2 linked regions of the Struthio camelus genome follow. Each later gene encodes a partner of the first gene's protein in a complex. Links are inferred from orthologs where the notes say so. Each region holds a gene or a part of one and is shown in the gene's direction. Other genes may lie near its edges.

Region 1 (3,898 bases):
AGCGGTAGGCGGACTCCAGCGGCATCAGCTCGTCGCGCGGGAAGCTGCGGAAGCTGTAGCGCTCGTACTGCGCCGCCGCCGCCGCCAGCAGCAGCGCCGCCGCCGCCAGCCGCATCCCTGCGCCCGGCTCCCGCCTCGCCGCCGCCGCCGGCCACCACGTCGCCGCCACGGGCGGAGGGGAGAGGGCAGCGCGGGGCGGGGCGGCGCCGGCGCCGCGGCCGGGGGGAGGGCGAAGGCGGCGCGGGGGGCGGCCCCGCGGCGGGGGCCGGGCCCGGGGCGTGGGTTGTGCGGGGCTGTGCGCCGAGGGGAGCGAGCGGGCGCTTCGTGGTGGGCAGCAGCGGGCCTGGGCGCTGGCGTGGCGGCGTGCGCGGCCGCGCGAGCCTGAAGGCGCCCGATGCCGTCTCTTCCCAGAAGCGAAGTGGGGTCAGGCCTGGTCGGTTAGTACTCGGCCGTGAGACTGCCTGGGAAGAAGAGGTGCAGGAGATGTTTTGTCCCTTTCTGTTTTAGGGTGTTTTTTTTTTTTTTTTTGCTTCCCTTGCTTGCCCTAGGTTTCGTCAGCTGCCCTATAGAGCCTCAGGCAGGAGGTGGAAATGGGCCACGTCGAGGCCGTCTTCCACCTGCTCGTGTCCTGCCAGCAGCGTGGTCCACTAGCGTGACGCAGCACCAGCAGGCGAGCGGGTGGAAGAGGGAGCATCAGGGATGTGGAAAGACAGGAGACAGGATCCCAGTGGGTGTTGCTCCCAGAGGGGCCAAGCCCCAGGCCACCTTCAGAGACAGCTGGGCTTGTAGAAGCTGGTAGAGACATGGCAGTCCCACCTGTAATGGTGTGTGCTTATCAGCATCTCTTGTGCCGGGCCGGAAACTAGGAGACTCCTTTTCACCTCGTTGGTGTGGGAAAGGTGGAGGTGTGAGGAGGCAGCGGGGGAACTTCCTTCGTCCCCTCTGGGTAGCTGGGATGCGAGCCTGATGCTGGAGGGTTTCGGTGTCCTGAGAGGCAGGCTGGCAGGGGGCTGAGCTCCCCGATCCTGTGAGTGATCCTTGTGGGGAGGATGGGGAGGGGGCATATGAAGTAATCTGGAGGGCCTGAGGTTGGTGGGTACATCCTTATTGTATTGCTGGTGAGTGAGAGTGCGCATGTTACGCAAGGCTGGTAAGGTGGGATTTGTAAGATGGGTGAGGTGGCTGTAGAGACGGTGCAGGCAAAAGGAGTGGTGGGCTGTTGGTGGCGCTCCTGTTCACAACAGGGCAAGGAGGGAAGCAGCTTGGATAGGATTGGAGTAGCATGATGCCGCGGTGTTGTCCTTAAAAGGAGAGAAAGAAGCCGTTCACTTGCCTACGGCCAAACCACCCTGAAAGCGCCCGATCTCGTCCGATCTCGGAAGCTAAGCAGGGTCGGGCCTGGTTAGTACTTGGATGGGAGACCGCCTGGGAATACCGGGTGTTGTAGGCTTGCTTTATTTATTTTTTTTTTTGCACCCTCGTTTCCGAGGGTGATCGGCTGTTTTACACTTCCCCCCCCCCCCCACACACACACACACTCGTTCAGGTTTTTGTGCACCGTTTCCAAACGCTGGGCAGGAGGAGACCTGCCCGCTAATGCTTTTGCTCCCCTATTTGTGCTAGTCCCCCCGCCCCGCTCCAGCAGCCTCCGCATCGCCGTGACCAGCTGCCTCCTGCCTCGCTTTCCCCTGTGCTCTCCCCCAGGCGCCCGGGAGGGGCTGTGGGGGGGTCGAGGAGGCCCCACGCGAGGCGAGCCGGGGCGGTCAGGCGGCGCCACGGGGCGGAGCAGACCCGGCGGGGCAGTCAGCTGACGCCGGCGTGTCATGGGACGGCGTGCCGAGGAGTGCCTCGTCCACCGCCGCCGCTTCCTCCCTTCCCGCTGCTGTCCGGCATGCTACGGCTCCTGCTGCCGCTGGCCGCCTTGGCGGCGCTCCTCCGGGCCGCGGTGAGTCCCCTCGCCTCCCCCCCCCGCCTAGGCGCTCCCGCTCCGCCGCGGGCCCCGGGGACGCCGCTCTGCGGCTCGCCTCTCCCACCGCGGCCCCCTCGCCGGCCGTTGGGAGCGGCCGTTGGAGGGGGGGGGCGGGGCGGGGCGGCCGTTGGGAGCGGCCCCAGGCTCTGAGGGGCGCCGGGGTGGCCCCCTCGGGGGGGGCCGCGCTGCCTCTGCGGGCCTCGCCCGGAGCTTCACCGCCCCGGGAGGAAGAAGGATGCTGTCTGCGCTGCCTCTGCCTTTTTTTTTCCTCTCTCTCTCTCTTTTTTTAAATAACTGAGATCCATTATTAATTCATTAGTGATTTATGATCCATTGATGTTGTTATTTGGGGTGCAGATGTCCGGCTTTCCCTCTGTTCCCTGGTGGGAATTGCCAGGTGGAGGTGCAGCTGCAAAAAGAGGTTTGGGGCTGGGAGGGCCGAAGCATGGCGCTGGCCCTGCTCCTACCCCCCCCCCCCCTTCCGTGGCTGGTGGTCTCTCAGCTGACTTTCATTTCTGGGGAGGAAGCGCTGACAGCGCCTTCCCCTCGCAGCAGGAGAGGTGTTGTGCATCCTCAGTCAGGGAGGTGATGGATTGTCTTGTTCGCTGCTTTTTTTTTTTTTTGGTTCTCTCCGATACCCTCCTCACATGCCGGCCGGCCGAAACGGTTCTGCTAGGTGTACTCCTGCCACCATTTAGGCTTTGTTTTGAGAAACATTGTACTCTCGGGCCTAGTTAGGCAACCCTTGGGGCGGGGGAGGGGAAATGGAGCTGCAGTTACCTGATACCTGGACTCCATTAGCCGATGGCACGCACCGGAAACCTTGCTGTTTCTGTGGTTGCGTGAGAAGAGGGAGTTACACCCTTCCCCGCGTCGATTCTTTGTTCGTGTGCCGAAGGCCTAGCTAAATCCTTCATCTTTACAAATATTGTGGGAGCCCTGCTTTGGCGCTTGTGCTTTGAGTTGGAAGCAAACTATTTAGTTATTTTGATGCAAGCTTTTAACTGCAAAGATGGTTAAAGCAATGTGAAAAGTAGCACAGCTCCATGAGAGACGTTTATCAAAGGGAATGTTGAATAAGTCATGATCTTGGAGAGAGGTGGCGTTATGACTAAGGCGGTGTGTAAGAACAATGGAAAACTGATTCCAAATTTAGTAGTATTGGAATGGGAGCACTTGGTGAAACTAATAGATAAGTCTAAAATGGATAAAGTACTTCATAAAGGAGATAGTAAATTGCAGGAATTTGCTCCTGCAGGAAGCAGAAGCAGACCGTATCAACAGGTTCAAAAAAGAATTAGGCAGATTAATGGACACCAGCTTCATAAATAACATACTAAAAGGACTAGGCAGGGGTGCTACATGCCTAATGTAACAGCTCTGGCTGCTGGAGGGGTACGTGGGCTGCAGAGGGGTGCCAGGGTCATGTGATTTCTTTAAACACTTCCTGTTGCTGCTCTTGAGACAGAATATGACCCCGTGGCTAGAGAAACCATGGGCCTGACCCTTTGGGGCATTTTTGGTGTTCTTATCTGCCTAGCTTTATTTATTTTCTGTAGAAAGCACATATGTAAAATAGTACCTTTTTTTTTGTAAGAATGGTGTTACGACAGCTAAGAAGGCTTGAGGAAATGAGACTTTCTCTGTCAACCTATAGTTCCCTGACCGATCAATGAAAGAGGGTCCTGCAAAATCCTGGCTTAGTCCTTAATAATACAGTAGGGACCTGTCGGTCTTAGTGGTATTAATGTTCCTTTAAATTAGCTTGGGAAAGTACATGCTACAGAGTAGCATTCTGGCCCACTTGGGCTTTGTAGACTTTTAAGTTCACTGCATAACCCAGCAAGGCTGCTTTCATGCCCTAGTTCCGCAGTATTTGGCTGTAATGATTGCTTGCCTTTCCTCTAGTTAAATATGGACTGAGAGACA
Region 2 (3,898 bases), on another chromosome or scaffold:
GCCCGTTGGCAAAGCTCTCCACCCGCGTGGCCTGGGTGTGCGAGGGGTCGATGCGGACGTTGGTGCCGTGGACATGGTGGAAGCGCGTGTCGGAGCGGCACTGCGCAGCCATCTCTGACACGGCTATTTTTAAACAGCCCAGTCCAGCTCCAGGCAGCTGCTGGGGGAGGCGGTGACGGCACCCTCCGAATAGGGACAGCCGGGCCGAGGGTGGCCCTGAGGGGTCCTAGTGCCACTGGGCCCACGGGAGGGGTGGGACGGGGCCAAGGTGCCAGCCGCCGTGGAGCCTCCTCTCCAATGGCTCTGCCCCCAGCCCAGGGCCCCCCCTCGGCTGGGGCCAAGGGAGCGCGAGCGCGGCGTGGGGCGACCTCCGCTCGCCCCGGCTCCCTCGCTCCTCCCGTGCCAGCACCCTGCGGCCGTGGGGTCCCTTCCGGCAGGGCTGGGCACGCGTGGCCGCGGCCGGGGCCTGGCACGGGTGTGCTTCAGTGCCGGTCCCGTGGGTGACCCCGGGGCTGCGCCAGTCCCAGGGTGTGCAGCACGCGGTGCTGGTGCTGTGCCGGTCGTGGTGTGCAGCACACAGTGTCGGTCCTGGCACAGTGCCGGACCAGCTGTGCAGCACATGGTGCCGGTCCCAGGGCTGTGCCGGACCGGCTGTGCGGCACACGGTGCCGGTGCCGGGGCTGTGCCGGTCCTGGTGTGCAGCACACGGTGCCGGTCCCAGGGCTGTGCTGGACCGGCTGTGCGGCACACGGTGCCGGGGCTGTGTCGGACCGGCTGTGCGGCACACGGTGCCGGTCCCAGGGCTGTGCTGGACCGGCTGTGCGGCACACGGTGCCGGGGCTGTGTCGGACCGGCTGTGCGGCACACGGTGCCGGTCCCAGGGCTGTGCCAGTCCTGGTGTGCAGCACACGGTGCCGGTCCCAGGGCTGTGCTGGACCGGCTGTGCGGCACACGGTGCCGGGGCTGTGTCAGACCGGCTGTGCAGCACACGGTGCCGGTGCCGGGGCTGTGTCGGTCCTGGTGTGCAGCACACGGTGCCGGTCCCAGGGCTGTGCTGGACCGGCTGTGCGGCACACGGTGCCGGGGCTGTGTCGGACCGGCTGTGCAGCGCATGGTGCCGGTGCCGGGGCTGTGTCGGACCGGCTGTGCCGGTGCCGGTCCCAGGGCTGTGCCGGACCCCCGGTACCGGTGCCGGTCCTGGTGTGCAGCACACGGTGCCGGTGCCGGACCCGCGGTGCCGGTGCCGGGACGGTGCCGGTGTTCCGGCCCTGGTGTGCGGTACAAGGTCCTGGGGTTGCCCCGCTTTGCAGCGCCCAGTCCCAGGGCGGTGCCGGTGCCGGTGCCGGGACCGCGCTCACGTGCGCGCGGCGGGGACGGGCGCGGGGGCCCGCGCGCCTGCCGGGGCGCTGATTGGCTACCGCGAGGAAGCCCCGCCCCGAGGCACGTGACCGCTCAGAGGTCATATGGGCGCGAGTCACGTGGGGCTGCTGAGAGCCGCCGCCAGCAGGAGCCGGACCGGGATCGGGACCAGGGTTGGGGTCAGCGGGGGGGGACCGGGACCGGGACCGGGACCAGGGTTGGGGTCAGCAGGGGGGGGACCGGGACCAGGGTTGGGGTCAGCGGGGGGGGACCGGGACCAGGGTTGGGGTCAGCGGGGGGGGACCGGGACCGGGACCAGGGTTGGGGTCAGCAGGGGGGGGACCGGGACCGGGACCAGGGTTGGGGTCAGCAGGGGGGGGACCGGGACCAGGGTTGGGGTCAGCAGGGGGGGGACCGGGACCAGGGTTGGGGTCAGCGGGGGGGGACCGGGACCAGGGTTGGGGTCAGCGGGGGGGGACCGGGACCGGGACCAGGGTTGGGGTCAGCAGGGGGGGGACCGGGACCGGGACCAGGGTCGGAAGAGGGGGCCGGACTGGACCGGGACCAGGGTTGGGGTCAGCAGGGGGGGACCGGGACCGGGACCAGGGTTGGGGTCAGCAGGGGGGGGACCGGGACGGGGACCAGGGTCGGAAGAGGGGGCCGGACTGGACCGGGACCAGGGTTGGGGTCAGCAGGGGGGGGACCGGGACCGGGACCGGGACCAGGGTCGGAAGAGGGGGCCGGGCTGGACCGGGATCGGGGTCACAGTCACAGTCAGGGTCAGCGGGGGCACCAGTCCGGTACTCGGCCAGGACCAGGGTCAGCGGGAGAGACTGGGCTGGGCCGGTTCAGGGCTGGGGCAGGGACTGGGGGCAGCCAGCCGTGGAGGGACGGGCCCGGGCCAGGGGCAGCTCAGGGCTGCAGTGGTTTCGGGTCAGGGGTTTGGCGGGGCCGGAGCAGGCCGGGCTGCGGGCCCGTCGGGTCGACCCAGCGTCGCTGAGCTCTCGTCCATCCGTCCGTCCATCCCTCTGCAGATGGGGCCGGTGCTGCTGTGCGCACTGCTGCTGGGGCTGAGCCAGGCTGCTCCGTCTGGCCACGAGGTCACCTACCTGCCGGGGCTCCCCAAACAGCCCTCCTTCCGGCACTTCTCTGGCTACCTCTGCGTCGGGCCGACCAAGCGCCTGCACTACTGGTACGTGGGGCTGCCTTGCGACTGGTGCTGTGCTGGTACCCCAGTACTGTACTGGAGCACAGGGCTGTGCCCTGGGCACTGCCCTGACCCGGACTGGGGCAGGGGCCCAGCAGGGCGCTGGATGCTCATGGTCCTGATCCCACGCAGGTTTGTGGAAGCCCAGAGCAACCCGCAGAGCAGCCCTCTGGTGCTGTGGCTGAACGGGGGCCCTGGCTGCAGCTCCATGGAGGGTTTCCTGAAAGAGCACGGCCCCTTCCTGGTAAGCAGTCCCTGGCCTGTGGTCTGGGGCGGAGGGCTGCCGAGGGCTGGCGGGCTCCACAGTGCGGGCTGTCCTGCCGGGGTTCGACTGGCTTGTGCCTGCTGCCCGTCAATCACTGTCTTCTCCCTCCCCAGGTCCAGCCGGATGGGGTCACTCTGAAGTATAACGACTACGCCTGGAACAAGGTAGGGGCACAAGTTCTGGCCAGGAGCAGCTCTTCCTGCCCAGCTTGTGTGAGCGACTAGTGGGTCCCTCCGCAGGCTGTTGGGAGAGAGGGTGGCCCTGGGCCAGTTCCTCCTGCCCTTTTGAGGGAACGGAGCCTCCTGCAAGCTTGTCTGCCTGACCCACTGTCCTCTCAGGTCTTGCTAGTGACTGGGGTGGGAACATGGCTGTCCAGAGCAGAGCTAGGGCAGGGCCAGGCTCCTACTGGCGCTGCTGTAGATGATAGCGAGCAGCCCTGTGCTCAATGGCTCTTATGACAGTCCTGGAAGCAGGGTCTCCCTTGTCCTCCAGCTCTTTTGCTCTCCCTGCAGATTGCCAACATGCTCTACCTGGAGTCCCCCGCCGGAGTTGGCTTCTCCTACTCTGATGACAAGAAGTACGCCACAAATGACACTGAGGTGAGGGACCCAGGCTGCTGGGAGTGACCTGTCCCTTGCCTGCCCCGCTCCTGTGGAGACGTGGAGGGGTCCTGCCATGCTGTCTGACCCATGTCTCCTTTTGCCTGCAGGTTGCTCACAACAATTACTTGGCACTGAAAGAGTTTCTTCGTCTCTTCCCTGAGTACTCGAAGAATGAACTCTTCCTCACGGGGGAGAGCTACGGGGGGATCTACATCCCCACGTTGGCAGAGTGGGTGATGCAAGACCCCAGCCTCAACCTGAAGGTGAGCAGCTCAGCTCTGCTGCCTGCCTGGCCTGGGCTGGGGGCAGAGGGCTTGGCACCACCTTGCAAACTGGCTCTCTGTGAGCTGTACTGAGGCCAGTGCTGGGACAAGGCCAGGCTGCACTGGCAGCTGGTGTGCTGGGCCCTCTCCTGGGCACGGGGCAGGTCTGGCCCCGTGGCCTTTCATCTTCGCCTGTGGTGTT

What was found.
Region 2: the proteins of GLB1 (region 1) and CTSA are in contact, whole or in part, in a cryo-EM structure (PDB 7KDV), measured with the Mus musculus proteins. The link is inferred for Struthio camelus from reciprocal best matches to the Homo sapiens genes GLB1 and CTSA. Residues at the interface, in NP_033882.1 of Mus musculus: Tyr198, Asp199, Arg202, His206, Leu229, Thr233, Leu234, Gln235, Asp236, Leu237, Lys258, Phe259, Glu260; in NP_001033581.1 of Mus musculus: Glu29, Asp31, Ala37, Lys38, Gln39, Pro40, Ser41, Phe42, Arg43, Tyr107.

What each region holds. Positions count from the first base shown.
Region 1 is NC_090943.1:52,587,042-52,590,939, reverse strand, and holds the start of GLB1 (beta-galactosidase), read left to right. Parts: upstream 1-1,641; 5' UTR 1,642-1,891; coding exon 1,892-1,945; intron 1,946-3,898. Other genes in the region: CRTAP (cartilage-associated protein), read right to left, coding at 1-115; TMPPE (transmembrane protein with metallophosphoesterase domain), read left to right, coding at 395-437.
Region 2 is NC_090959.1:19,333,177-19,337,074, forward strand, and holds the start of CTSA (lysosomal protective protein), read left to right. Parts: upstream 1-1,423; 5' UTR 1,424-1,463; coding exon 1,464-1,538; intron 1,539-1,560; exon of another isoform or gene 1,561-1,582; intron 1,583-1,951; exon of another isoform or gene 1,952-2,046; intron 2,047-2,393; coding exon 2,394-2,551; intron 2,552-2,698; coding exon 2,699-2,810; intron 2,811-2,944; coding exon 2,945-2,995; intron 2,996-3,343; coding exon 3,344-3,430; intron 3,431-3,540; coding exon 3,541-3,696; intron 3,697-3,898. Other genes in the region: NEURL2 (neuralized-like protein 2), read right to left, coding at 1-112. UniProt on the Homo sapiens protein: Protective protein appears to be essential for both the activity of beta-galactosidase and neuraminidase, it associates with these enzymes and exerts a protective function necessary for their stability and activity.